Tamandua tetradactyla: one gene and its partners. The protein of the gene in region 3 purifies or fractionates together with the protein of the main gene of each other region. This does not show direct contact. Links are inferred from orthologs where the notes say so. Each region holds a gene or a part of one and is shown on either strand. Other genes may lie near its edges.

What was found. Proteins that work in one complex are often made in the same cells at the same time.
Region 1: the proteins of DVL2 (region 3) and IQGAP1 purify together in Homo sapiens (affinity purification with western blotting; 3 studies listed by BioGRID, with this or other methods). This does not show direct contact. The link is inferred for Tamandua tetradactyla from reciprocal best matches to the Homo sapiens genes DVL2 and IQGAP1.
Region 2: the proteins of DVL2 (region 3) and PELI2 purify together in Homo sapiens (affinity purification with western blotting; 3 studies listed by BioGRID, with this or other methods). This does not show direct contact. The link is inferred for Tamandua tetradactyla from reciprocal best matches to the Homo sapiens genes DVL2 and PELI2.

What each region holds. Positions count from the first base shown.
Region 1 is NC_135338.1:98,909,742-98,919,335, reverse strand, and holds the start of IQGAP1 (ras GTPase-activating-like protein IQGAP1), read left to right. Parts: upstream 1-5,149; 5' UTR 5,150-5,241; coding exon 5,242-5,296; intron 5,297-7,647; coding exon 7,648-7,747; intron 7,748-9,594. UniProt on the Homo sapiens protein: Plays a crucial role in regulating the dynamics and assembly of the actin cytoskeleton.
Region 2 is NC_135338.1:9,629,794-9,639,687, reverse strand, and holds the start of PELI2 (E3 ubiquitin-protein ligase pellino homolog 2), read left to right. Parts: upstream 1-5,449; 5' UTR 5,450-5,647; coding exon 5,648-5,724; intron 5,725-9,894. UniProt on the Homo sapiens protein: E3 ubiquitin ligase catalyzing the covalent attachment of ubiquitin moieties onto substrate proteins. Involved in the TLR and IL-1 signaling pathways via interaction with the complex containing IRAK kinases and TRAF6.
Region 3 is NC_135332.1:61,099,899-61,110,106, forward strand, and holds the start of DVL2 (segment polarity protein dishevelled homolog DVL-2), read right to left. Parts: upstream 3,726-10,208; 5' UTR 3,502-3,725; coding exon 3,308-3,501; intron 1,034-3,307; coding exon 964-1,033; intron 676-963; coding exon 527-675; intron 419-526; coding exon 288-418; intron 189-287; coding exon 53-188; intron 1-52. Other genes in the region: PHF23 (PHD finger protein 23), read right to left, coding at 4,799-5,013, 5,120-5,957, 6,530-6,622, 6,792-6,823, 8,410-8,443; GABARAP (gamma-aminobutyric acid receptor-associated protein), read right to left, coding at 10,005-10,070.

The DNA.
Region 1 (9,594 bases), on a different chromosome or scaffold from region 3:
AAGGTCAAGGAAGGCTCCTGGGAAGATGTGTTGGGCCAGCTGGTGTATAAATGAGTATAATACAAAGCATGATCTTGAAATAAAGCTTTGTTGAAGGTTCACATGTGAAATCTACCACAGAAGACATAAAGCACTCTGATACATGGGGATGTTGCCCGTGAGTCCACTGAACTGAACGCATGATTGACCCTTATGGTCCAGATAGCCCATCACTGTTCTGTGAGGGAGCAGTTTGAGCCTGGCCACTCTCTTTATAGACCAGGCACTGGTTATTGGCTGTGAAGTCTCAGGGAGGAATGTTGCTGCATGTGTGTGCGTGTCTCCCATTTTTTTCTGTTAATGTTTACATAACTTAATCAGTATTCTACATTGCTACCCTAGAATGCTCTGGAAATATAAGTGGTGGTAGAAATTTCTTCAGTTTGTCTGTAATCTCATGAGAGGCCCAGTGTGTTAGTTAGATTCAGTTGTCAACTTGGCCAGGTGAGCATACCTAGTCTTGTTGCTGCGGACATAAGCCAATGGTACGTGAACCTCATCTGTTGCTAATTAATCTGCAGTCAGCTAGGAGGTGTGTCTGCTGCAATGAGTGACGTTTGACTTAATTGGCTGGTGCTTAAATGAGAGAACACAATGTAGCACAGCCTAAGAAGCTCGGCAATTCCCATCTCAGCACTCCCAGCTCAGCCCAGGCCTTTGGAGATGCAGAAAGAAGTCACCCCCGGGGAAAGTTGTTGGAACCCAGGGGCCTGGAGAGAAGACCAGCAGAGACCATTCTGTGCCTTCCACGTAAGAAAGAACCTCAGTGGAAAGTTAGCTGCCTTTCCTCTGAAGAACCAACAAAATAAATCCCCTTTTATTAAAAGCCAATCCATCTCTGGTGTGTTGCATTCCAGCAGCTAGCAAACTAGAACACCCAGTAAGATTTTCTGCATGCCACTTCTGGAGAAGACATAAAAAGTGACATTCAATAAAGGAAGTGAGCTTTCTGCCACACAAAATACCTGTCTAAAGGGAATAAAGAATGACAAAGGAAGAGGGCAATTATGGGGGGCAGGAAGGAGGTTAGGTGTAGACCCCTGACACCAAAAGTCTACATCCACCACCCCCATCCTACAACCCGTGGTACCTAAGAAAGAGAAAGTCACACTCTCTGCCGAAGGTGAACATCTTTCCAAAAAGGTTCCTCTTGGACCTTTTGAAGCATCCTATGGCTCCTGCCCTTCGAGAAGACTGGAATGAGCTAAGCAGTATGGAGAGCCCATATATACATGCATGCACACAATGCCCATACAAATCCTTTCCTGGCTTTGCTTATGCTTTTTTTCCACCTAGTACTCTTCCTCACCTTTCCCTCTGGTCTTCTCTGAAAGCCCTGCCCACATAATATCTTTTCTAGGACACTCATATCATCTAGTCAAAATCAACTCATACCTTATGTTCTAGTTTGCTAGCTGCCAGATTGCAATATACCAGGAATGGAATGGCTTTTAAAAAGGGGAATTTAATCAGATGCTAGTTTACAGTTCTAAGGCTGAGAAAATGTTCCAATTAAAGCAAGTCTATAGAAATGTCCAATCTCAGGCTCCAGGGAAAGATACCTTGGTTCAAGAAGGCCGATGATATTCAGGGCTTCTTTCTCAAGTGGAAAGCACATGGCGAACACAGTCATAGTTTCTCTCTCAGCTGTTAGGCACATGGTGAGAAAGGCATCATCTGCTAGCTTTCTCTCCTGGCTTCCTGTTTCATGAAGCTCCCTGGGAGGCGTTTTCCCTCTTCATCTCCAAAGGTCGCTGGCTTGTGGGCTCTCTGCTTCTCGTGGCTATGTCATTCTACTCTGCCCTCTCTGAATCTCTCTCTCATTCTCCAAAATGTTTCCTCTTTTATAGGACTCCAGAAACTAATCAAGACCCACCCAAATGGTTGGAGACATGCCCCTACCTAATCCAGTTTAACAACCACTCTTGATTAAATTACATCTCCAGGGAGATGATCTAATTACAGTTTCAAACATGCAATACTGAATAGGGATTATAAGAAACAGTTGCCTTTACGAAATGGGATTAGGATTAAAACATGGCTTTTCTAGGGTACATACGTCATTTCAAACCACCACACTTTATCAGTACTCCCAGATTTCTGTCTTGATGTGTGAACTCCTCATGAGTTCTTTGTCATGTCTGGGTCCATCACATTTTTTGGTAGATGTATCTGGACAAATCTTTCAATTCAGCTCTTTTGGCAGCCACTACTGGGCACTACAGTTGACACACATGTGGATAATAGTGTTCATATACACCAATCTTGAGGTGAGTGCAGTTTGAATCCTGGCTGTGCCACTGACAAGTTGTGTAGTCTTTGGAAAGTTAGTTAACCTTTCTGAGTCTCAGTTTCTTCATTTTTAAATTGGAGAATTCTAGTAATTCCTATGTTACAGGGTGGTTGTGAGGGTCAAATGAAAGAATGAATACCAAACATTTAGAAAGGGCTGGGCACTCATTACAAGTTAGCTGTTGTTATTTGTAAGCCATTTGTCAACCCTAGTAAATACTAAGAGGCATGATGTGGGGAAATCCTGCCCCAAATCCCTAGTGGTCCCTCGCATGTGTCCAGAGCCCTTCAGGAGATCCAGCCTGGGTGGAGGCCCCAGGGTAAAGCTAGATTCATATTTGATTGAATACCTAGGACTGGGACTCAGGTGGCCATTTTAGAAATCTGTCTTCCAGAGAATAGCTACAATTCTATGAAAAGTTAGCCCTCAGCATCTTTCACCCTTCATCTTCAGGGGTATTGAGAAACTATTGCCTCAGATTTCCCAGCCTCTTCACAGGAAACTGGCTTCCAAAAGCCCAATATGTTTTTATATGAGACATCTTATCAAATCAGAAGTGTTATTCTCTGTCCCAGGGAAACCATACTTCTGGGAAATTTCTATGGGAATTATATAGAAATCAAATCCTAAATTTTCAACAGTAAGAATCCTGTATTTGTTAGCTATTCATGATGAATTTTCTTTTCACCTGATTTTCTGTCTTTGGGGGATTAATAATCTGTCTGGGAAGATGGACAGGTAAATAATTCAATGGGCCACGTGCTATAATAGAGCCATATATGACTGTACACTTGGAGTTGAAGACACCTTTCACTGTAGGGTACACCAGCAAATAAAAACAGCTTTTGGAGCCATTAAGAAATATCCTATCATTCATATGTATATATATATATATATATATATATATATATATATATATATATATACACACACACACACTAAAAACTTGATTGATAATAACATACATCTTCCCGGGGATTACTTATCAACCTCTTCTCTAAATCAAAGTTGGAGCCAAGCTTTTTTGAAGAGCCCAACTCTATTGTACCTAGTTAGTCATTCCTGTCATCAATTCTAGCTCTGAAATTTCTCTGACCTTTTCTGAGAAATTAGTTAAGTTTACATATGTGCAAGCAATGACAATTATGTTACAATATACTTCTCTACCTGGTATCTGTCTTTTAGTAAATACTATTTTGATTTCAAAAGCATTAAAATGTGAAAATCTTGGACTTATTTTTGAAGACATATGGTTTTTAAACTGCTTCTGGGTGACAAATGTGGAAATGATTAATTTTGCTTGAGGGAGGAGGTGACATTTAAGTTAAGTCTGGAAAATTGAGTATGTGTTCCAAGGCAGGTAAAAGTCTATCAAGTATTCCAGGTAAAGGGAAATCTCTATCATGATGCTTATCTCAAGTTATCCTGTTAATTGTTTTACTCCCACTAGCATTTAAGCGCCTCAAGGTCATGAACCATTTTTACTCAGAATGACTATTTAGCTCATTGTTTCACCATGTATTTATTTTATATTTACTAATTTTATTCATATTTATACTTGCTGATAAAATAGTATCTCTAATAGCTCATTGTAGAAAACTTGGGAAACACAGAGAAGCAGACAAACAAAACCTCTCATACAATTCTACTGTAATTCTGCTACCTGGAGAAATAACTGTTAAACATTTTGGTGTATATGATTCATGGCTTTTTAAAATTCATATGCATCTCTTTCTTTTTCTTTTTTTGCAAATGCAATTTCAGTGAGATATATTCACACACCGTATATTCCATCCTAAGTACTTTCTATTTTTTTCAAGCAAAAATGGTATCTTATATTGTGAGCTATTGATTGTACACCATGTATGAAATACTTGTATGTTAAGAATGTTCCTGTTTGTACTTTGTTTGGATTTGTCAATAAAAATAATAAAAGAAAAAGAAATGGTATCATACTATGTTTATTGGTTCATAATTTTGGTTTTTTTTTTTTTTTCACTTAACCATCATCTTAGAAATATGATCATTGTTTGCCTACCGGACCATCCCATTGAAGGCAATAATGTCCAGCCCCTAGGTTTTATTCCTCAGTTGGCCATACCTCCTGGCCGCAGTGGACTGAAGTAAAAGATCAGCCAACATCTGAACCAAAGACAACCCGTCAATGGATGGCCAGAGACTTAGCTATGGGGTAAAAAGATGACTGGGTCCAATCATATGCCACTCTGTGGACTATGGAATTGGAAAATCAAGGTGCTCCTCAGCCAGAGCTGTGGAGGAGCCGGAGAAATGAGAACGGAGAAGGCTGGTTCCCACAACGAGGAGGGTGGAACAGACCTGCAGAGAGGCAGAGATGCCCAGAGGAATAGAGCCATCCTTTCAAGCTTCCATCAGACCTGTTTTTGCAATTCCGGCCCATATATATCTTTATAATGGATGCCTCCCTTTCCTTTTTTCTTGAAAAAAAGTAAGATGTAAAGGAGCTTGCTTGGCTCAGCAGGCAGGGAAAGGGAGGTGGCCCACGGTTTTGATTTCAAACCGCCGACTCTGCGGCCCTTCCCTTAGAATTGCAGATAGGGCGGTGGCTCCGCTGGCGGGTCTCGGAGGCCCGGGGCGGCCCCAGTCGGTGCAAACCCGGCGGGCGGACTCCGCCTCCTTCCGGCCGCTGCTGCGGAGGCGCGGGGCGTGGGGGAGGGGGCCCGCACCCAGGGGGCGGGATGGGGCGGGGCCTGCGGCTCGGTCCCGCCCCCTTCCGCCCGCTCCCGCCGGCGCGGCAGGGCGGGGCCCCCAGGGTGGGGCCTGGGGGCGGGGCCTCCGGCGCCTCCGCGCGCGCAGTTGGCAGGAGCTGCAGCCCCCGCCGCGCGTCCTGGGTCTCTCCGCTTCCTCAGCAGAGACCCGGCTCGGCCGCCATGTCCGCCGCGGACGAGGTCGACGGCCTGGGCGTGGCCCGGCCGCACTATGGCTGTGAGTGCGGGGTTCCGCGGGGGCTCCGGGGCCAGGCCCGCTGCCTCTGCGGCGCCGTTTCCCGGCCTGGGGCGGTGGGGCAGGGCGTGCGGGCCGCGTGGACCCGGAAGGGCCGCCGGCTGGGCCGCAGGAAGCGCGGGTGGCGGGACGAGTCCCTGCGCCCTGCTCGGCTCCGAGCGGCGGGCGGACCCGGAGGGCCCCTGGGAGCCCGGGCGCTGCGACCCCGGAGCCCCACCCAGCGCCCGCCGCCCGCTCGGCCCCGGAGAGACGGCCGGGGGGGACGGCAGGACGGCACAGGGCGTGTCCTGGGCACCGAGCCCGGGCCTTACCGCGTCTTCGGGAGCCCTTCCCCGTCCTCGTGGGCCCTGCCCTGTCCTCGGGGTCCCTGTCCCGTCCTCGGGGTCCCTGCCCCGTCCTCGTGGGCCCTGCCCTATCCTCGGGGTCCCTGCCCCGTCCTCGGAGCCCTGCTCCGTCCTCGGGGTCCCTGCCCTGTCCTCGGGGGCCCTGCCCCATCCTCGGGGTCCCTGCTCCGTCCTCGTGGGCCCTGCCCCGTCCTCGGGGTCCCTGCCCCGTCCTCGGGGGCCCTGCCCCATCCTCGGGGTCCCTGCCCCGTCCTCGTGGGCCCTGCCCTATCCTCGGGGTCCCTGCCCCGTCCTCGGAGCCCTGCTCCGTCCTCGGGGTCCCTGCCCCGTCCTCGAGGGTCCCTGTCCCGTCCTCGGGGTCCCTGCTCCGTCCTCGTGGGCCCTGCCCCATCCTCGAGGGTCCCTGTCCCGCCCTCGGGGTCCCTGCCCTGTCCTCGGGGGCCCTGCCCCATCCTCGGGGTCCCTGCCCTGTCCTCGTGGGCCCTGCCCTATCCTCGGGGTCCCTGCTCCGTCCTCGGGGTCCCTGCCCTGTCCTCGGGGGCCCTGCCCCATCCTCGGGGTCCCTGCTCCGTCCTCGTGGGCCCTGCCCCGTCCTCAAGGGTCCCTGTCCCGTCCTCGGGGTCCCTGCCCTGTCCTAGGGGTCCCTGGGTCTGGGGGCCCTGTCCTGTCTTCGTGGCCTCTGTCCCGTCCTCGGGGGTCCTGTGCGCTCCCAGGCCAGTGGGGAGGTGCGGCCTTGGGCGAGTCACTTCAGCTTTCTAGGGTTTAGTTCCCTCTTCAGGATTTGAAAAGTAGAAAAAGAAAATCCACCCTTGGACTTCCTCATTCTTGGAACCTCCTTTTCTGTGGGTCCATGAGACATTATTAAACTGCAGGGGCTGGTACCACGGCCACAGGGGGTCCTTTTGAGTCTTTGGCGGTTTCATGTGTATTTATATTTGGGAATAAAATTTTGTTTTTAAGATAATTTTGCTCTTAAACAGTTATGTGTGAGGGATTGTGCCACATCTGGGAAATTGAATATGGGCAAGATTAGGTCCTGCCTTCAAAGAACATTTAAAATTAGAGACAAAGAGGTCTGCAACCTAATGATAATAAGGTGTGGTAAAGATAAAGTACGTGTGACCTGACTGGTCATAAGCAGTAAACAGTGAGTGAAGAGGAGGGTTTGAAGAAGGCAGTGTGAGCACAGGTGTTGACACTTGAGCAGCGACGTCCAGGAGGATGTGTAAAGTTTGACAGGGTGGGGTGGGGCAAGACACATGAAGAGGGAAGAGCACGAAGGAAGGTCATAAAGAGGAGGGCACTGTGCACAGTGGTGGGGAAAGGGCAGGGAGAGGGAAGAGATGTGTTTCTCTTGTTGGGGCTAGTTGTTGGGGCTAGATTGAGAAATCTAGCTCTGCCAAGGAGTTAGGGTGCTCTGGGTGTCCGTGAAGGAGGCACATTGCTTCCAGGGTAAGCTCACAGGCTTTGGAGGCAGACTGCCTGCGTTAGCTGTGGGGCTGAGCTCACCCAGCCTCACTTTCCTCATCTGTAGAATGGGAGTGATAATCACAGGGTTGTTGTGTGGTTTCAATGAGAGGATGCATGTAAAACGCTTAGAACAATTACTGCCACTTTGTTCTCAGTAACCGCTGGCTTTGGTTGTTCGTGAAATAGGGGAACAACAGGGTCAGATCTGTATTTAGAAAGAGTTCTGGCAGACAGACAAGGACAAATTTAGGCCCAAATCTCAAGAAACAGTATTTTTCTAGGTCACGTTAAAATTGAGTACGTGCTCATATTGTACCTAGAAGAGAGTGTAAGATTAGTGTAGTTGAAACCCCTCAATTCTTGTTTCAGGAAAGCCACTGTAGTGCACCTGGCGATACATGCAGCCCATGGTTACCTTGAACCTCTAGTGACTCACAGGAATTTGATGCTTTGGCATTCTTTTATCGATCAGGAAGGTTACAGAGCCCCACGTTTACGTTCTTCTTTTTCATGTTTCAGCTGTCCTGGATAATGAGAGACTTACTGCAGAGGAGATGGATGAAAGGAGACGTCAGAATGTGGCTTATGAGTACCTTTGTCATTTGGAAGAAGCAAAGAGGTAAGGATTGGCTGGCTGGAGAGACGATTGGGAGAAGGAAACTGATGTGATATGGATACAGATAAAGATCTCTGAATGTGTTGTAGGTGTGACTGAGGCTGATAGTCTAAGGAATAAATATAGGCATGTTATTTACTCATGGGAGCGACTGGTCTTGATGGCAGCTTATTATGAAACACTGGTGGACATTTATGTATACTGAAGAATTTTCAGATTTTTGCTGTTCAGTTTAATATTTATGGTGCATGTTTTGGACATGATCAGCTGTAGGAAAGAAATAGCATTTTTAGAATTTGAAGTTCTTGGCTTTTTTAATGTCTCGTTATCACTGGTTTTGGTTTATGTATGAGTTGATTCCTTTCTCCCCATGGCAGTGGAGGGGTATGTGGTTTAGGAGGCTTAGGAGTAGGGAGCAGTGATAAAAGACAGGTAACTAAAGGTGGCATCCTCTTCATTCTTCGCGAGGATCAGGTACTCCAGGGTTTTGTGGGCTTCCTCTTCGAGTATGGATTCATTTCACCATCAAAGGTCCAGTTCTTTTGTCCCAGTGTTTGTGGTTCCTTTGCAATTACATCTTTCCAGGGTAGACAGATGTAATTACAGATCATATATTCTGTAAGTCAGAGTTTTGGTGGAAAAGAGTAGGGAGGGTTAAAGAAAGACACTTGCAATAAAAATTTAATAAAAATCAAGGATGCTTCAAATGGTGCTAAGATATAAGAGTGTTTCTTTTTAGTTTTGAGAACTTTAAAAGTCTATAGAAAAGTTCAAGGAACGATAGAGCAAACATTCATGTATCTACTGCACTTCAGATCTTTCCCTTTTCTCTAAAAAGAAATAAACATAGACAGTAGGAGTCCCATTTGTATGTGTCCCTGGTCCCGTTTTCCTTCTTCCTTCTCCTAGAGCGACCACTAGTATGCATTTCCTGTGTCTTCTTTAGACCCAGGCTTCTTTTCTGAATTTAAAGCGCATCTGAAAGACTGGGGATGGGAGGGGGAAATTAGTGATGATTTAGAAGGAAAGGTCAGCCAGCAGGAGGTGAGTATGTTACTAGAAAAGGGATGTTTGGGCATATAAAGTTTGTAGGCCCTCTGCCACTTAAATTCTGAGTATCTAGTTTTGGAAGGTCAGAGGATTTAAAGCTGCCTGTGGTCCAGGGGATTATTTCATGCTCTGTGGACCCTTGGCAGCTCTCAGGAGGCAGCCCAGGAATGGGGAGGAGGAATTCCAACACGCAGTCCTTCCCTCAGTCTGAAGCAGCTCTACTTTTGCTTTAATCTTTGGTTTCCACCGTAAAATTCCCGTTTTATAGAAGGTGTCCTGGCTAACACCTCCCTTTTCCCAGTGCCACCATGAATCTAGCTCAACCATTTCATTTCAGTGAAGAAAGTAAGGCTCAAGTTTTCTTAGTCTACTTGTGGTTTTCTTGACTGAGGTTTCCTTTAGTTTATACAGTAACTCTTTCTCCCCTTCCCTTCCTCCCTCCCTCCCTTCTTTTTTCTTCTTTTCAAATAAATTTTATTTCAAAATTTAGAGATACACTATGTACCAAACAACAGTTCCCCCTCCCCACCTCCCCCCTCTCCTGTTCTTTCTCTATAAACTTATACAATGGTTCTTAACTTGCTTTGCATTAGAATTACCTGGGGAACATTAAAGAAAGCTACTGATATCTGGGCCTTATCACAGAGGTTTGGATTCAGTAGGTCTGAGCTGGAGGGGCTTGACACCCATATTTTTTAAATACCTCTGGTGGTTCTGTTGGTCCCTCTAGTTGAAAAGCAGGATTTAAAATATTCACTTACCTGATTAGAATTCTGCCTTATGCTGGGTGTTGATAGGCT
Region 2 (9,894 bases), on a different chromosome or scaffold from region 3:
CCCGCCAGGGTATTCTTCCTGCAGTTTTATTTGAAATGATAATACTGCATGTTTTAATATTTTGCAGTACACAAATGACTGAGACATTCATTATTTCATTTGATTTCTTCAAAAACCTTGTGAGATATTTAGGCAGGAAATCATCATTCCTTTTTCACAGATGGGCTAACTGAGGCATAAAGAGATTAAGGGATGTAGAACTGAGGTCTCTGATTCCTAATCCAGCCGTCTCTCTGCGGCTCTCTTAGGGTTCCCGTCTCGTGAATGCCTGTCTGGTGCTTTAGTTGAACCTCTTTCTTTCAGCGCCTCTCTCAGCGGTAAATGCAAGAAGGGACATCCTCTTCTAGGAATATCTCACTGTTACAGGTTCCATGCACTGTTCACGGGAACTCTAGACTTGGGATAAGAAAGGAATAAGTAAATGGTTTATTCAAAAAACATTTATTATATAGCTCCTAAAAGTTTTATCTTGATTTTAGCAAAGCATTTTATGATCGTTCATGATATCTAATTAATTAATAATTAAGCACAATTATTAGATGAATTTTTAAATAATTTCAACAACCCCACCCAGTTCTCCAGCGACTTTCAATATCAAAGAGAAGCAAACCTTTACATCATTACTCTCAAGCCTTATATGACCTGCCTCCTACCACCTCTGCAATTTCACCTTTTACTCCTTTCCTGCTCTTTCACAAAGCTCCGGAAACATGGATTTCTTTCTAGTTCTAATGTATGCCAATCTCACTCTGCCCTTGGAGTATCTGTATTTGCTGTCCCCTCTGTATGCAATGCCAGCCCTTCAGGTCTTGTGCACAAGTGGCGCCACCTTTTCATTCAGTCATCTGCTCCTTGTTAAGTGAAAAAAATAGGTTAAGAGTAGTGTATATAGTGTGCTACCCTTTTGTAGTATTTTCTTAAAAACTGTGTACACACACACACATGCAAGCATACAGAATATCACCGATAAAATGCACGGAAAATTGACAGCAGCAGTTTCCACTAGGGAGGAGAACTGTAGGACAAAAGTAGCATTAAGACATTTTGTTTTCCTTTCTTGCATTATTTGAATTGCCTACCATCTGGATGTATTCCCCATGAACATAACCAAAATATGTGTGAAAGAATGCAGATAAAAAGAATTCACTGGATTGTCTGGAACTAACAAATTGGAACTATAGCTGGAAAATGTATTTAATAGTTCACTTAGATTCAATAAATCAACTGCACAGGTTCCGTTAAGGTGGCTCCTGCTTGAAAGCAGTTCATCTGCCAAACACCTGCGGTTTCATTGACCCCAAGCTCCATGTGACCCAATTCTTCGCTGTGTAAAAAGTGAAGGTACCTCACAATAGCAATGACAACAATGAAAATAAAAAATTATCATCTGTCAAATTAGTAAGGATTCAAAAATGCTCTAGAGAGTTCCCTGAGGCAGGTTCTCTCAGTCACTGCTGGTTACAGTGTAAATTGGCAGGCACAACTGTTTCAAAAAACGTTTTGGAAATAGGCATCAAAGAGTCTAAAAAATATTTATGCCCTTTGATATAATAATGTCACTTGTAGGAATGAGTGCTCATGCAGTCATAACAAGCATAAATATGTTTATTATTTGTAACAGAAAAATTATAAATTTTCCAAGCGTTCCATAAGAAGGGAAAGGTTAATAAATTTTGATAGAAATGATGAAACCACAAAAAAAATTTGTGAAGTTTTAATGGCAAGAGAAAACTGTTCACAAGATAGCATCAGGTAAAGAAAGGTTGGATAACAGACTGCACAAAGGGTTATTGTACACAGTACTGTCACAACTATGTCCAAATTTAAAAAGAAAAAAATGAAGGAAATATACAAAAATGATAAGTAGGGTGGTTTTCTGGGTAATGAAATTACGGGTTATTTAAAACAAGATAGAAAAATTTTGTTTTCATGTTTGCAAAATTGTTGACAAAGAGCTTATGTGACTCTTCCAATTATAAAAAAAATAAAATTTTACAAACCAAATGCAGTCCAAGGTTTCATCAAATATATATACATATATATATAGCGTCCTAATCAGTCTACCCAAACATATTTCTGAAAGTGTCTTTTTACTCTTTAGTATTGGCAAACATTAGCATGTAAGGTGGCAAGTCGGATGACCAAATATTAGACTCTCAATTTTAGAAATATTGGAGCTTATTTAACTGATTTTATTTAAGGTATAATTAAGGCAAACATAATTTTTTTTCCCCACTAAATCATTTAATTCTAGCTTAAAAGAGGTAGACGTTAACAGGGGAAGAAATCAAGAGAAAGCTTTACATAATTTATTTGTGGAGTAATCATATGGCCTCTGGTAGCTCAAGAAATGGCATCAACTCCCTTTGGGATGCTGTGGGTGGGTCATTCTCTTCAGGAGAGTGGTTTTTGGGCGGGGAGGTGGGACATAAATGGAAAGTCAAGCGGGGAGTGGGGGTCTACCCTGGCACCCTGGTCAGCCAGACCCACCCTGGCTTTCAGTAGGATGGCAGATGGTACAGCCAGATTGTCCCACCAGACTGGAGCTACTAACTAAAACAATTACATTCAAGAAGGAATAAATTCATGTTACAATCAGATTCCTCGTATAGCTGGGGATGCTGAGCGTAATGTTCTAATTGGTTTAAGTTGTGAACAACTCGTGCGGGAGGGGCAGAGAAGGGGGGAGGTCAGAGCAAAATAATTCAGGACACAAGCCACCAATGCTCTGAGATACTCCAGTTTACTCTCCACCACCCTGCCACCCTCCCAGCCCTGCCATCTGATCCCACTTCAGAAACGTCCCTTTACTTTTACCCATGGGTGTTTCCTTGAAATCAGAGAAAGAAAATTTGGGTCCTTGGGCAAAATAGAGACATGGTTTTGTGTGGGCCTATACTCTACTTTTTTTTCACACTTGAATGAGTTACGGACAGTTAAAAACTGGGAAATTTGGCATGAGATAGGGATTTCTGGCTTCTCTTAAAAAATTAAATCTAGCAACCATGAGCTGGCATTGTCATATGGCAACGGTCGGCCAGAGATGGGTGGCAGATGCCCCTTCTCGATGGCACAGGCTCACGAATTTGTCATTCTCCTCTCAGACAGTTTGCTCATTTGGGGTTCCTGCCTGGCCCCTGAATGCATTCTTTGCCCTGATTGATAGATTGCTATCCCCAGTCGGGGCTTTTAGAGGCCAGAGTGTTTCATAAAACTAATAGAGCAGCCCTGAGCTGCCTAGGATAAAAAGCCTCCCTTGGTTCAAAAACTCTCAGAAGCAGCACTTCAAGTGATCTCCGTAAAGACAGACCTGACTGAGCACAGTAACCACGCCTGAAGATATGCTGAAAGAGTAGAGAGGGAGGGACGCACCTGGGGAAGTCAGGGCCAGAGTGGGCAGGTAGCTAGAATGCAGGGCCTTCGAACATTGGGGCATCCTACGGGAAACTCTCAGTCTAGTATTTGGGACTTAGTAGAAAGTTAATAAATATGGGTTTCCATTCTCTGAAGAGCAGATGCAGAGCACAGCAAGGAGGAAATAGAGACAGAACAGTGTAATGTAACGCACAAAAGCACAGCACGCCAAGAGAGAAGGAGGAAGGAGGTAATTGTAGCCTAGAGAACAGCAGCAGAAACAGAATAGGCCTAGAGAAGTCAGGATGACAGAGCCAGGTACTGTAATAACAGGGAACTGTGTAATTGCTGCATAAGTCTGATAGATCTTTGCTAATCACACATCTATATGATAAGTAGGAGAAGACAGTAGATGGAGACAACATTAATCAAGCAGTTCAGGCAGAAAAGCACACCAAGACACTATGAGAAAAAAAGTCCTTCCGTAAAAGCCGGTTGGTTAAAGCTGTGAGTTTTGTATGCACAAACATATGCAGAATATGTAAAATGTACAGACTAGCTGTATTGAGTTGAAGAACGCAATTGCTAGCATTAGCTGAAATAAGGTAATCGTTGAATAAAATTTTAGCTTTGGTTTACCAACGGTATGGCTTTCGTTACTTTAGAATAACTTCTTTATTTCCCAAGCCCCAATTAAAAAAAAAATCAGTTACTAACATATAAAAATACCTGAAGCACGTTGTCACTGTAATAATAGCCTGTCACACAATGTTACACAAAGGGTGCTGAGCAGACTGGAAAGTTACAGATGCAATTACTTTGTTCCTGGCCCTTTACTTAGGGTCATAGCCAAGTAGTCACTGTTAAACACAGGGTAGCTATGGCAGTACTTATTTCTTTAAATATTTAACGGTCTTGAGAGGCAGTGGCTGGCAATAATATGCAGATGTTCTAGAATGTTATGAGTGCTTAATAAACTTTGAAACAATAAAATCCAGGATGAGGAAAAACAGCAGCCAGTGAAGCTATTATAACTCTAAAATATTTTAGAGCCATAATAATACAGTAACGATTTAGAAAGGTATAAAAAGTAAACATGGTGTATTGATTAAATCATAGGACTAAAGGAATACTGATTTACCCAAAATTCCACGCAGGGAATTTCCTCTTAACCCCTTAGGAGAACGAAAGAAGCTCTGGGAAATGTGGACAGAATATGGATTTAAAAACAAAACAAGGCTCAAAAAACAAAACAAACAAACAAACAAAACACACCTCATTCTACTCGTTCTATTTCTACCATGTGGAGCTCTGCTGAGAACAAACGGCGGCTACGTCGCGTACAATGGAGTGGGGTCAAAACTTCCTTCAATCCGGCACTGATGAGTAAAGCCCTCCGACTTCCAGATGCCTTCCAGCTTTGGAGGGCTTAGCTATGGAAGAAGAGGCACCCAGATGCGTGCGTGCGACACCTCCATACGCATGACGCGACACAGTGGCAACGGGAACCAAACGCTTTTAGACCTAGAGAGGAAGTCCTTTATCTATATTTAACTAAACTCGGCAAAACATGAAGTAGTCTTGGGGACCTCGACCGAGGCGCTTTCGGGATCTTCTGCGCAGCCTTCTGAGGCTGGAGAGCGCAGCGGCGTGGGCGGAGGACCCCGCGCTCTAAGTTTGGAGAAGGAAGCCAGAAGAAAAAAAACAGAGCTGCCCCTTTAAGAACTTCTTTTTCCTTTTACTCTATGTTTACATAACACGGGGGCCGATCCGCCGCCCGGCGCGAGGTGGGGGGCGGGGAGTGGGCGCCGGTGGCCCCACGCGCCCGGGCAGGCGCTGCGCAGCGGGCGGGGTGGGGTGGGCGGCGGCAGGGGCTCCCCGGGGCAGCGAGGCGCGGCGCCCACCTGCCCACGCGCCGCGAGGGCGGCCCCGCGGGCCCTGCCCCGCCCCTCCCCCGCTCTCTGCCCCCGCCCCTCCCTCGCTCCCCCCTCCCGCGGGGCTCCGGCGGCGGCGGCGGCGGCGGCGGCGGCGCTGGCGCTGGGCGCGGGCAGGTTCCCCCTGCTGCCGGGTCCCATTTGTTGCCGGGTCCGGCTCGGGGCGGCCGCGGCGCGCGGAGCTCCGGGGAGCCCGGTGGGGCAGCCGCGCAGCCACGACGGAGCAGCCACGGGACTGGCCGCCTCGCGCCCCCTTCGCCGCCGTGCCCTTCCCCGGCGCGCTCACCCCCTTCTCGGGATGGGATTGTAGCGGCGGCGCGGACTCGGAGGGGATCGCGGCCGAGGCCGAGCGCGGCTCCATGTTTTCCCCCGGCCAGGAGGAGCACTGCGCCCCCAATAAGGAGCCGGTGAAATACGGGGAGCTGGTGGTGCTGGGGTGAGTCCGGAGACCTCCGGCCCGGGTGGCCGCTGAGCGCCTGCCTTCCTGAGTGGGGCCCGGGGTCGGGTGGCGCGGGCGCGCTCTGAGGACCGCGGGAGGGGACGGGACGGCGGGGCCGGGATGCCCCCACCAGCTCGCGCGCGCGTGGGGCTGCGGCGGGCGCCGGGCTGCGCGGTCCGCGCGGGGCCGGCCGCCGAGGAAGTGGCGGAGCCGGGTCGGCGCGGTCGCCGGGGCTGGCGCGGGCGGCGGGAAGGGCCCCGGGGGCGGGCACTCGGGCGACCCAGCACCCCGCGGGGCTCAGCGCGCGGCCACCGGGTCCGCGGTCCGCCGTGGGCTGGAGTTGAGCGGCGCTGCCGCGGGCGTCTTGCGGTCTCGAAGGAGACCCCCCCCCCACCTCCCGCCACACACACACACACACACACACTTCGCGGAGAAGGGAGGGCCACCCGGGCTGTCCCCGGGGATCTGTGTCCCTGCGGAAGGCGAGCCGGGGACCCCGCAACTCGGAGAGTGGCGCCGCGGGGCTGTGCGATCTGCCAGGCGGGCGTCCTCGGGCTGCGCTTTGCATATTGTTATGGTGACCGCGGCGGACAGCCGGAGCCCGAGGGCAGTGAACTGTCTGTGACCCAGACGGGCAGGCCGATCCTCCGAGAGTGTCCTGGGGTGGGGGAGAGGGACGCGGCCGCCCGGGGCTCGGGCACCGGAACGCGGGGCCGCCCCTCGTGGCAGCGGCCGCCCCGGGGGACAGCGCGGGGGGCGCACCCACCTCGCCCGCCTCGGCTCCCTCTCCTCTTGTGCAAACCACATTTTGAAGATAGTAATTATCTACAATCGTTAAACGATGGCAATTAGCGACTTGATCAACTTCCTGAGTTTCCTTGTGACATTTCTATTGTTTACCCTTAATAAACCGGGAGAGAGGCTTTGCCAGATTAAAACTGGATAAACTGGGCAGTGAGAGGGGAGCAGCATGGGGAGGGGGATGGGAGCAGGAAACTCCGGGGAAGAAGCAACTTGGGTTTAGCATTGGAGGAGAAAGGATTATTTTTTTTCCTCCTTTCGATACGTCGCTCGTGGGAACCCGCGCTTTTGTTGAAAGATCTGTATTCCTAGCATCATAGGCGCTGATAGGTAGGCTTAGCACACTCATGAGGAGCCGTGGCTATGGGAGAACTCAGGGAACTGTGTGAAAAGGGTTTTGATATTTCGAAACCCTGAAGTATGGACTTAAAGGTAATTTTAAAGAGAGGAATTTTTAAGAGAAGCTTCCAGACCCAGTACAACTGAAAATTTTCAAGTCTCTAAGTGGACCATTATTAGAATCTCCTTACCTGTTTTGAAGCTGTTGGCAGATAAGCATTTTTATCACCTGCGTGGACATTGCACTTAAAAGCCTCACATGTCAAGGTTCCTTGGAAGAAGGGAGGAGTGACAGGGAAAAAGCTGGAGTTTTGTCGCTCTTATGTAACTTCAGCCCAACTTAATTTTGTAGAGTTTGGTTTTGTTTGTGTGGCTGTCTTCCAAGTATGTTCAACATGGTGAACCTGACAGGAAAGATTGATTTGTGCCAGAACTTTATTTCGTTATTTCCTTTTGAGGAAATTATTGTTGAGATGCTTTAGAAAAGAAGTGTGTTGTGAGTGGGCCTGGAGAGGTTTTGTACTCATAGCTGGAAGTATTGGACATTCCAAAGCCATGAAAAGGATTTATACCCTGAATTGTCCTAGTATCAAAAACTTGTGCTAAAGTAGGCTGTGTAAATGCGTTGCCAATTGCATGTGATTTGTCCTTTACTAATGCTTTTCCAGGAGAAACAGAGTATGACAAAAAGTGACTTACTCTTTGGGGCTAGATACTCAGCAGTTATCTGTGCACCTATTATGTGCCAGCACTGTTTAGACATCGGACAGACAGCAGTGGAACATGGAACTTTCAATTTAATCCAGAGTGAAAGGCATAAACAGAAATAAGCTTGTAAGCAAGGGAATAATAAATAATAATTTCATGCACTTCCAAGACCTGACAAGTAGTTGGTTAATGTAAAGTGCCTGCTTTAGCTAGACACTGCTTTCTTTAGCAAGGAGGTCTGGAAAGGTCTCTCTGAGGAGGTGAAATGTGAGTTGAGACCAGACTATTGAGAAGATCTTAGTCTGGTTTTTGAATACTTGAGAAGAATTGTCATTTTCTTTTTTTGAGAGATTTCTACCTCTTTAACAGTATTGATCATTGAAGAATGCAGATAAAAGAGGGAGTAGATAGGTGGGCTATAAAGGAATCCTTATTAAATCATATCCCATCCTTGGGAATTGAAACAATGTCCTCTCTCTTAAAACAATTACAATTAAATAAAAACGCTATGCATGACATAACTATTGGCATATAGAGAATTCCTAGTAGATATTCTTATTGATAATTTCTTTCTTGAGATCAAAAAATGCCAAATTGCTGATATTGATAGAAACTTTTGCTTATGACAATGATTTATACTGTTGAGTAACTTTGTTCTTTTTGCTCTCTCCTGAATTTTGTAGTAAAATGTCACTAGGAAATGTTCTGGAGAGCAGAATGAAGAGCTGATATATGTCTGCTACATCCATATTGAAATATTTCTGCATCTTTTCGTATGTTACACAATATCATGAGAATGTCAGGCAGTTAGGATTTTAGTGGGGTCAGCACTTTCTTGGCAGATGAGTGGAATTTAGCTATTTCATAATTCCTACTAGCTAATGTATCATAGCCATAATGCTTCGTTATTCCCATGACATAATTGAAGGTAGAACAAATGACTGGTCTAATCACCATGTCTTCTTTACTATTAAGTTTAAACTTGGTTAAAATTTTAAAGCTGGGAAAGTGTGTCAGGATCTAAGAGTCAATTCAGTGTAGAGGGAAGAGCATGAATTTACGTCATACGTAAGGCTTGGATTTAAGTCCTGCTCTCTTGCCTTACTGGCTTTTTGATTTTGGTTTAGTCCTTCATCCGATTTCTTTATCTAGAGCAAAACTGGATTGGATTAGGTGGCCTTTAAGGTCTGCACTCTGTAATATTGCTCATTGGCTCACATGAGGGCAAATGTATAGTTACACATTCGAAGTAGCCTGTCGTTTGCTGGTTTTGTTTATTCTTGTGGCGACAGGGGCTCGAATTCAAATGAGTACTCATACTTTTGTTTTAATAGCAGAAAGGCCAATGCTGTATTGCTTTTTATGAAATAGGTATGCGCGAAACAGGCTGAGTTTCTGTTTTTTTTAAAGTGTTAATGGCTTACATATATTTGGCTCTGGTGTTAAGTTGTACGTAAGAACATTCAAATTTGGTGAAACTTCTGTTTTGAGTTTAAGAAGGACAGTGATGTAGGAATTAAGCTAAATTGGTCTGAAATAACCAGCACAAGGAGAAGATGATCTAGTTGTCTGTTGCTTTTGGAACTGGAAGGGGCGTAAGAGATCATAGTACATGTTCAGCCTCTTGATTCTACTGTTGAAGAAGCTGAGGCCTCAGGAAGGAGATTTGTTTAACTTCCTACTTGAGTCAGGCTGAGCTGGAACTATGAGCTGGATCACTGGACTACAAGTTTCAGGTTACGGTTCCTGCACTGAAGGGCACATTCCAGTGGTGTCAATTCCTGAGAGCTTCAATTATTTGTAACTTGCACGAGGGGCAGCAGGTCCCCTTTCTGGGTTTGATTTGAAGCATGTGGCTCTGCTCCTTGCCGACTAACATCCCGTCATGGGACATATTTTTTGGAAAAATATTGCTTGCTCTCTTCGTTCCCCTCCCCTCACAGTTGAATGGGTAATGCAGTTTTCAGGGCTTTCTATTTTTCACTCGATGTTTTACAAACATGTATTTTTGTTGGCTTTCATAACGTAGGGTCCATAGATGGAGCTCAGGGAGCTTTTGAACATGGCTGGGGGAGAAAAAACATCTTTATTTTCGCTATACTCAAACACTGAAATTTTGTATTTCATTCAATTATATGTGTAGGTGATGAAACACAGCAGCAATTAGCAGCACTTGCAACTTCGTGGCTAATATAAATTGCAGATATTTTCATATCACATTTATAGTTGTACAGATGTCTCAAAATATCATTTACAGTAGCTACTAGACCCACTGCTAGTTTTTTTATTTAATGCATTAATACATTAATGCGTTTATTA
Region 3 (10,208 bases):
AGGAAGGAGGAGGGGGGCTGGGAGTCCTGGGGAGAGAGCTGAGGAGCCGTACCGGCTCATGGTGTCATCCTCGTCTGAGTCCCCCAGGCTGGTGCTCTCCAGCTCACTGGTCATTAGGGTGGAGGAGCTCTCATATCCAGCCAGATGGCGCTCCAGCCTCGAGGGGGCGCTGGGCCTGTGGCCCCCACCTGAGGATGAAGAGGAACCTCAAGAGCCGGGCTTCAGGCTCTGAACACCACCAAGGCTCGGGTCTGGCACCCCCCCCCCCCCGTCCCAGCCCCCCTCACCGCTGTGCTCACTGCTGTCTCTCCGGCGAGGTCGCTCGCGCCTCAGGGACACTACTGACTCCGTCTCTGTCTCAGGGTCCAGATTTTCCCGGCTGCTGGATACATTAGGGCTAGAGGGGCAAAGATGGTTTCTCCCCCGCATCAGGGAGACAGGGCTCCAAATCCTCAGTTTCCCCTCCCAAGGGCCTTAGGCTCCCTCCTCACCTTCCTCCCCAGACTCAAGAATCCCCAGGACTCACTGGAAGGATGGAGGCCTGGAGTCACCAATGCCGCTGGTCCTCTCTGGTGGCAAAGGGGGTAATGGTGGTGGTGGAGGCACCTGTTCTGCCCGAGGCTCGTGGGCTGGTGGGGGAGCCATCTCTGGTTGGGGGTTATCTGATGACACTAGCTAAAAGGGTGCAAATAACAAAACGGGCTCAATTGGGAGGCAGGGCATGAGTGCTACGAGTAAGGGAGAGGTTTAGAGAGTCTGAGAGACTGAGAGAGCCTAGAGAAGCGCCCAGAAAGCAGCAGCAAGCAGTAGAGGCTCTAGAGGAAGAAGGCTGAGGGGATCCAGACCCCAAATGGGCAGGAAAGCAGAAAGTCAGGGCCTCCACGACCGAACAGAGGGCTACAGATGCTGGGGGGAGCTGGGCAATGTGGAAGGGCCTGGGCCCTTACAGTCAGGGCCCCTTACCCAGGAGACCACCCTTCCATTGAAGCAGGGAAGGCGGGCATTGTCATCTGAAATTTCTTCCTTCACCACCCTGCAAAGAGATAAGATAAAGGTCAATGAGGCTGGGCAATTTTCCCCCAGCTCCCATCCACATTTCAAAGTTTCTGCATCCTCCCAACCTTCCAGCAGCTCAGGGATGTTGACTTTCTCTCCTTATCCAAGTCGTATTCTTTTACTCTGCAACACCTCCCTCTTGCCCTGAGAAGGCTCTAAACTCAATTAATTCCCTTTCCTTATTTTAACTTCTCTCCCCAGCTCATCCTTGGGGGCTCAATGCTACTGCAAAGATTTCCTTGAGTCTGATTCAAATCTCTCAGTCCAATTGAAAAAACCACCCTCCCATGGCCACCCCAGGAGCCCAACATATCCAACCTTACCAGCCTTGCTGGTGACCTCATCCCACCCCCATTTCTCTTCCTCACACACCTACCCTAAAGGCTTTGGGCTTCATCTCTCTAATCATGCTCCCCTTTATTTTTCTTTAACTAATCTTCCAGAGATCTATCCAAACGTGCTGCTTTGCTAGGTGAAAATAGCCATTAGTCCAAAGAACAGCACTTCGCCGTTAGGCTGAGCGGTCCCACAGCAAAGGAGCCCATCCTCCCATTCCCATGTGCCTCACGTGGCACAGAACTCTGCAGAAAGCAATCTGCTCAAAAGGGAAGCCCAGGCCTACGGGTCATCTCTCCACTGGGTTCCTTATGGTAGACTGGACTTGGCCCTTCTTGTCAAGCACCACATCAAATGAGGAATGCCCTTCCTGTTGGACACCAGGCCCTGACCACACAAGCTGGTATCCAACGCTTAGGAAGCGTTAGCAAATATTTGACTGAATGAATAAATAAATGAACTATGAGACTCTGGTTTCTCTATTTCCTCTCATACACACATTCTCACACCCAAATTGGGACATCCTGTTGATTAATCCTTTAGCCTAATATGGGTTCTGAGAGCTTGGATATATGCCAACTTAATCCATTTGCTACCAGCATGACCTGTTCTGTATCAACACAGCCAGTTACTACTAATCTCAGTGTAATGTAGTTTCCGTCCCCAAATCGCAGTCTCAGGACAGCCCAGTGACTCCAAGACAAGTTATTCTGTATCACTATAACCTAGTCTAGGACTAGTCAACCTTGATACAAATAATGATAATTACTAATCACTGAGAATTTACGTGTGCCATGAACTTCCACTAAGCATTTTATTCAGAGATTATCTTCATTTCACAGTTATGCACATCAAAGTCCCAGAAAGTTAAATATGTTGCCCAAGATTACAGTGCTGACACATAAAAGAACATTGATTTAACTCCAAGGGAACTCTCCAGACAGCACTGCTCTCCCAGTGTCAGTCAGCCCTTCTAGGTAGAACACAGTCATAATTCTTCAAGAACTCAGGCTATCCCAACTTAATCTAGCCTGCCTCCAGAAGCACTGAGACTGAGTGCCCCTGAGGGATTGTCCCAAAGGCTATATAAAAACATAAGGGCTTGCTCTGCATTACAAACAGCCTAGGGTTAGCCCAGGATAGTCCAGAAGGTCCCAAATTACTCCAGCAAAGCCCACTGTAATCTCACACAGCCTAGAACACCCCCCACCTGCAGCTGTCTACAACAGTATAGACTGAGATATCCCCATACAGCCGTCTGTACTAGTATAGACCCTAACTGCCCCAGCTGCCCCAGTATCAAGTATTCTAATAAAACCACGGCGGCCCCAAAACAAACCAGGATCAACCATACAAGTCTGTCTAACCCAGGAGAGACCAGAATAGACCACGTTTCTCCAGAACAGCCTAATCTACTCCACGACAGCCTGGAACATCCCAAAACCGCACTGTCTGCATTAGTAGAACCTAGACTGTCCCCCCAAACTATCTCATTATAGGCCCGAAATGTCCCAAATTGCCTCATGATAGCCCAATCTATCTCAAGAGATCCCTGTATACTCAGGGTGCTACAAGACTGCTCAGAAGGTACTCAACTACCAAAGGACAGATCCATCTAGTTCAGGACAGTCTACCCCCCAAATAAGCCCGTGTGCCCCGCTCTAGTTCAGTATAGCCTAATCTTCTCTAATCTGGTTTAGTACAGCCCAGTCTGCCCTTCTACAGCTAGCTCCGTGTGCCTCCATTCGCCGAAGCATAACCTTGTCCGTTCCGGGAGAGTCAATCTACCCAGCCTAGAACAGTCTGCTCCACGAAGCCCAGAAAATCCCAGTATGGTTCAGAACAGATCTGTGTCCCTCAATATTGCTCAATCCACTCCAGCCCCCATCGGTCCTAGTCTAGGCCTCGCGCTCACCCGAAATCTTGATCCATAGACTTGAAAAAGTACTTAGCGCCCGCGGGCCGCTGCAGAACGCTCTTGAAATCGCCCAGGGTGATGCGCTCGGCGGGGACAGGGATCTTCACCAGGTAGGGAGTCTCTTCCTCATCCAAATGGTAAATCACCTTCGTCTCTCCGACACCACCAACCCCCGCACCGCTGCCCGCCATGGTCTCGTCCGCGCGCTCCCGGGCTCCGCCGCCCACCCACCCGGGCTGCTCGCCCACGCCGCGCCTGCGCACACCCGCACACCAAAACGCGACAGCGGACAAGGCCGGCAGCGTCCGAGAAGTGCGGGAGAGAAGATAGCGGGTGGCGGGGGCGGGCCGGGCGTGGGGCACTACCCAGAGCCGCAGACTTCGCCGCCGACGCCGCGAGCAGACACCGCTGCCCCGCCCACCTCTCCCTGTGTCACGTGACCCACACCCGGCCTGCCTCGCGCTCCCCGCTGTCCCTCCGTCACGTGACTTGTCCCGATCACGTGACCTCCTTGATTCCTCCTAGCGCCCCCGCCACATGAGCGCTGCCTTCAGCAACGGTCTCCCAACCCTCAACAGCCCCACCCGAAAATGTGTCCCCACCCGTGTCTTCCACAGCACCCGGGCTGAATCTGGCTTCTGCCCTCTGAAACAGGTGGCCTACTCCCACCCCGCTCTACCTCATCAGGGCGGGAAGCTCAAGACAACTCTGATCCATTGAAGTGTGCTTGTGGGGGGTCTTAGACTGGAGATGAGGTGGGGCAATGCGGACCCAAGTCCTACCCTGGGGTTGTGCAGTTATCCGATGGTAAAGACCCACTGCAGGGGCATTTCCAGCCTGGACTTTTCTTCCCACTTTTCCATAGCCTCCCTCCCAAACAGGACAATCAGTGAGAGCTATAAACACAAAAGAGCCCATTTCGCTTTATTTACAACATGTAGGCTGTCTGTACAGCTGGCCAATATTATTAAAAACAAAAGAGGTGAATGAGAGAAATGTCACCTTTCTGCTTTTCTTCCTCCCTCAGTCAGGCTCTGGTACTCCACCTTTGAGCGGCCATGCCCAAAAGGGGAAGCCCAAAATTAAAAATACAACCGATGTTGAAGAAAATAAACAGGGAGATAGGAAGAAGAAAAGATGAGGAAGGGGCGGTGCTCTATTTACACTAGAGTTTACAGACAACTGCCTCATCCCATCCCAATTTCAACCCTGGCCCAGAAAGTGAGGCAGGCCCAAGAGGCAGGGATTTTGTGTCTAGGGACCCAGACAACCTCCAACCCCAACTGCTATGGATCCAAATTCAAGTCCAGAGGGTGGGGAGGAAGATAGGGTAGGACCATGAGATACTCATTTCCAAACAAGCCTCCCTTGGGAATTCCTGCCTTGAAGTAGGACAATGTCCAAGCTCCAGGGGATGGGTTGAGGACCCTGAGGCTCAGTTCCCAAGTCAAGTTGTCAACTGGAAGTCCCAGCCTGGACTTGGTGATGTCAAGGCTCTCCAGATTTGGGGGGTCCCCCTAACCGCCGGGCCTCTGGCCGCAGTTCCTTGCATTTCTGGCAGTAAAAGAAGTCAGGGACATTGGTCTTCTTAATCTTAGCACAGGAGAGATGGATCCATGTCCCACACAGGCTGCACTCAATCATGGGCCGCCCTGCAAAGGGTTTTCTGCAGTAACACGTGATGAGATCCCACGAGTCATCACCTAGGGAAAAGAAGGTTTGCTTGGTGTCCTGCTTGAGCTCTTGGGGGCCACGACTTCCCCAAGCCCCTCCTCCCACCTGCCCCTGGGCAGCCCCCAACCCCCTCACCTGATTCTACCATGATGTCCTCATCCATGACCCGCATCTCCCCTTCACTGGAACTGGCATCTCCATCTTGGCTTGTTTCAGTGCTACCCACCTCCTTGCTTTCACTGTCAGTGGGAGGGGCTCCTTCAGGAGGCCCTGTGGCAGGGGGTCTGGGAGCCTCCGGGGGTGTTGGGAGTACAGGGGCTGGGACTTCACCCCCTACTACTGCTGCCATCTCCTCTTCCTCCTCCTCTTCTTCTTCTTCCTCCTCCTCTTCAGAGTCTGTATCACTAGGGGGTGCTCGGGGAGGCCCAGGAGGTGGTAGTCTATCCCCCCGCTCTGCCTTTTTCAACTTCCGTTTCTTGCTCTTCTTGATTCGAGACCTCTTTTCCCCATCTCCAGGGGCTGACCGAGGCCTCCGAAGCACCCCAAAGCCAGACCCCCCTCCTGGCCCCAACTTTCTGTTCTTTCGGTCCTTCTTTCGAGGAGGTTGGGAAAGGTCTCCCTGGGAAAGGGACACTGGGGTGAGGGCAGTAGGGGGCCGGGAGACATGTGTTAGGGATGTGGGAGAGAGTGGAGATGCCACTTTGGGCCCATCCAGATCAAAGAGAGAGTCCTTGAGCTTCATCTTCTCAAGTAGGGTGGCACTGTCAGGGCCCTGCAGGCGAGAGAAAGTGGCCCTTGGAGGTCCTGGCTGGGTGGGACCTGCTTGAGCCGCCCTTCTCTTGGATGATTTTGCTTTCTTAACAAAGGTCTGGATGGTACGGAGATCTGAAGGGGCCGAGTCCCAGCCATCACTGTCTGCTGCACTCTCACCTCGCAATGGAGAGCTGGAGCCAGAGGCTGGCCAGTCACTTTCCTTAAAAGAGGAAGAGACCAGGGTCAGCAGGGGACCCAATGTCATCCCTCTACAAACCTAACCTGAAAACTAGACTGTATCTATGCCAAAATATTGTAGCCATCCACCAAATCTCACTCTATTCTGGAAACTTATTTCTACCCCATCCTCATCTCTTGTTGAGCACTTCATGTTACTTCTGCCTTCAAATTCTAGCCATCTCCCCTGCTGGGGCAATTGGAACACTGTTACCCAGACCCATGTTTCTTTAGCTGTATCTGTTTAGCCTCATTTGTTACCATTTTCAGCTCCCTAAAATGTATCCAGAAGGACCTTCCATTCACAGCATCCCAAATACCATTCAAAAATCTTGACTAAAGACCCAAGAACCAAGTTCAGCCTCTTCCATTGCTACCCAAGCCACCTATTTCCAATATTCTCCCAGATACTAATTTTCTCACTACAAACCTAGTTTCCAATTTTCCTAGTCTTACATATAATTTGTTAAACTCGCCTGTAAACTAATACAATTCCATTTGCTCAAAAGCCCTTCTGGGCTACCAGCTTCAAGCCAAGTGTTCTCCTGTCCCTACCTCTTTGCTAGGGGGGATGTAACCCGCATAAGCCAAGACAAAACTGCAGAATTTGTTGAAATCCTCAATTGTTCTCCGGCGTTTCTCTGGTGGCTGAAAGGAAGGAAACATGGATCACATGGAGACCAGAAGCTGGGGTTTCAGAGGGGCATTCCCAAAAACATAGTTCCTGGAATGAGGAATCTGGGAAAGCTGTGGGGATAGGGGGAAGAGCTGGGAAGCTAGAAGGAATATTGGGTTGCAAAGGCAAGGGAAACCTCACCTGAGTCTCTGGCTTAAGGGTCGGAGGTGGATCTGTGGAAGCAATAAAAGCTGAGTCAAGGTACTAGCAAACAGTCCATGCAAACCCCCCACCTTGAAACTTTGGCGATCCCAAGAGAACCCCCTCTTCTGCCAGGTCATCTGCCAGGCCAGCAGGCCCCCAGCTGTGCTGGAACCGCCGCCGTTCACCTCCCACCCCATGAGGGGCGGAGCTTGGGCGCGGCGCCCTCCCAGGCCTCGCTATACCGCTCCCCTTCCCCCCACCGAAGGCCCGGTGCCCCGCCTTCCCCCACAACTCACGGTTTCCCTAGATTCTAGACTACTCGGATCTCTTAGCGCCCCACCCCGCCAAACAGCACCCCGGGCCGAGTCAGTTCGCCGCCCGCCCCTGTCCTTCACAACGTGCCCAGTGTCCCGCGTTCCTGCCCCACCAAGCGCTACCGCTCCAGGCCTCCGGGATCGCACACGCCGCCCGCCGGCCCCCAGGATCCGATATGACCACGCCGAACCTCTCCCCGCCCTCCGGCCCCTTCAACTCGAGCACGAGGCCTGGCGTGCCCCTCACCCCCACCCCAAACACACAGACACACACATCACGTCCGGGACCGACCAGAGGGCTTTAACCCGGACGCTGCCCCACCTGCCCCCCCACGCCGCGCTCCCCACAATTTCGCCGTCCCTCCGCCCCCATCCGGGGCTTTGGCCCCTCCCCGTCTCGAGCTCCTTGGGTTCCCCGCCGGGCCCCTGGGCCCAGTTCCGAGCTCTCACAGGCCGTCCCCCCTCCGCCCCCGTACTCACCACCAAGTCACTAGGCTACGGACCCCTAAACTCTAGGCCCCCCTCCCCCAACCAGCGACTCTCTCCCTTCACAGCAACCCCCGCCGCTGCTGCCGCCGCCCCCTTCGCCCGCCGCAACTCCCAGGCGCTAACCCTCGCCAACCAACCCCCCCTCCTCCGGCGAATCGCCGGTCTTAAGCCCCCACCCCCACCCCGCCCCACCGCCCCCTGCAACTACCCAGCTCTCCTTGCTTCCCGGCCCTCTCTCTCCAACTACCCATCGGTACAGGTCCCTCTTCAGCAGACAATACCCAGACCCCTCTTACCCCCCACAACTACCTGCCCACTCCTCCAGCAATCACCAGGCTATCTCCGGCGGCAACTACCGGGAGCACCGGCACCACCACCACAAACTCCCCCACCCCGGCGAACTACTGGGCTCCTCACTCAGTCCTCTTCCACGACCTCCCTCCCCTGCAACTCTTTGGGCTTCAGATTCCCCCAACCTCCCAGCTCTGGGGTCCCAACCTGCGGGAGGCCCTTTCGGCCCATAACCCCAGAACACGGAGCTCCGTGTTTCCAGCTCCCACCCACCCCCACCCCCGCCACACACAAACACACACACACACACACATACTGTCTGATTTCCAACTACTCCCCACCTAGTCCCCACTCCTATTTCTCCAAGGTCTCTCAACTCGTCGCTCTCCCACCCCAGGGGCAGGCCCCCGACCCTCTCCCGGCGCTACCCCGCTGGGCACCGGGGCTCGACCTCCAAGTTTGCCAATTGGTTCCTCGCCCGCCCCGCGCGGCTCAGCTCTCTGTGCCGGTCTAGAGCTCACCTTCGGGACTGGGCTCCGCCATGGCTTCCAGCATCGCCCCCTCCCCTCCTCCGGGTCCGGCGCTCCCCTCCCCTTAGCCGGGATCCCGGTACCGCCTCCGGTGCTCGGTGCTCCTACTACCTCGCTCCACGGAGGTGTCTGCCTCGGCCCGGTTGTGACACGAGTCCGCTGGCCGCTGCCGCCACCTCCCTCTACCACTGCCTCCCGCACTCCCGGACCGGGCCCCCTCCCCCCGCGCCGCCGGCCGCCTGCTCCCTCCTCCTCCTCTCTTCTCCCTCCCTTCTCTTTTCTCCCCCTCCCTCCGTCGGCGCCGAAGCGCAAAGCACCAAGGGGCTTGTAGTCCGACATGGAACAGCGGAAAGAGGATTGTATAGGCCTCCGAGACTACAGTTCCCAGCAAGCCAGAGGCTGGCACAGGCGCACTAAGCCGCTCCCCTCCCCCGGGGAGTGGCGGGGATATTGGGAACAAGACAGTAGAGCGGAAGAGCGCGCACAGGCTCCTGGGAAATGTAGGCTGGGCGGTCCCAAGAAAGAAGAGGAAGAAGGGATTAGAATTCTCGGCCACCATCGGTCTCATTCGGCATCTTTTTTCTCCCCCAGGGTACCACCCCTCTTCCGGCCAGGCAGAGGAGAGATTTCTGGGAGATGAAGTTCTCCTAGTGATAATGGCTACCTTTCCCCCATCTTCCCCTCCATCCCTTCCCTCCTCCCGCCCTCCCTCGGATTCCACTCCTTTGGAGCCCACAGGTCAAGACGGAGTCTGGCCAAGTGACAGGCAACTGAGGACAGTTTTTTTTATTCCCGCCCACACATAAATACTCTTCCTTAATCCAGAAGTTCGTAACAAACTTGGATATGGTTATCTAAAGCAGGTGCTTTCAAACTTTCTTCACAGGAACCCACAGTAAAACACTATTTTTTACATCAGTACCCAATAAACATGAATATAAAACTGAAGTTTCATAAAATGATACTGAGAAGCATTCTCATTCCATCACCCATCATAACAAAAGCACTCTTTTTCATGCAGAAAAAATCTCAAAAGGATAAACCAAAATGTATTTCTATCCCACAATTTGCATCCATTCCTCTCTCCCCACCACTGAAGCCCATGACGCCTGAGAAAGGCTAAAGGGAGGGGGGGGGTAACACAAGGCAAAAATCAGTTCAGCTTGGTGGTTTCCTCTTTATTGATGTGCCTCCTACCATCCCCCCACAATTTCAGTCCCTTCCATCTACCCCCCCCCCAAAAAAAAGGTAGTAAAAAGAAGGGATTGTTGGGGTTCTGGACCCCATGGGCAGTTAGAAAAGGAAGAGAAACCAAAACAGTCACTAGATGTGACAGAGATTGACAACCAAGAAGTCTGAGGCAGAATGGGAAAAACGGCTGAGAAAGGTGAAGAAAAAAGAAATAGGAGGGGTACTAGGAGCCATCTCTCCTGCTAGCAAGGGCTGGAGAGAAAGCTTCAAACATTAAGAAGTGCAGGTCCTGAAGAAGAGAGGCGGTGTCTGAGCCTGAAGAAGGGGGGGTAGGTCAAGGAAGGAGGGCCACCTCTCTCTGTAGAATGGGACACCCCACCTTAGGGGCAGCAGCTTCACAGACCGTAGACACTTTCATCGCTGTAGGCAATGTATAGAAAGAAGTCTTCTTCGTGGTGTTCCTGATTGAAAGCAGAACATGGTATTGCTCAGGCATTGGGGTTTCAGGTTCCTGGAACCACCCATAGCCCACATTCTTCAAGAACCATTCTTTTTGAAGACCCAAAAACCAGTACCTGACTCTCTCCCTCACTGGCTCT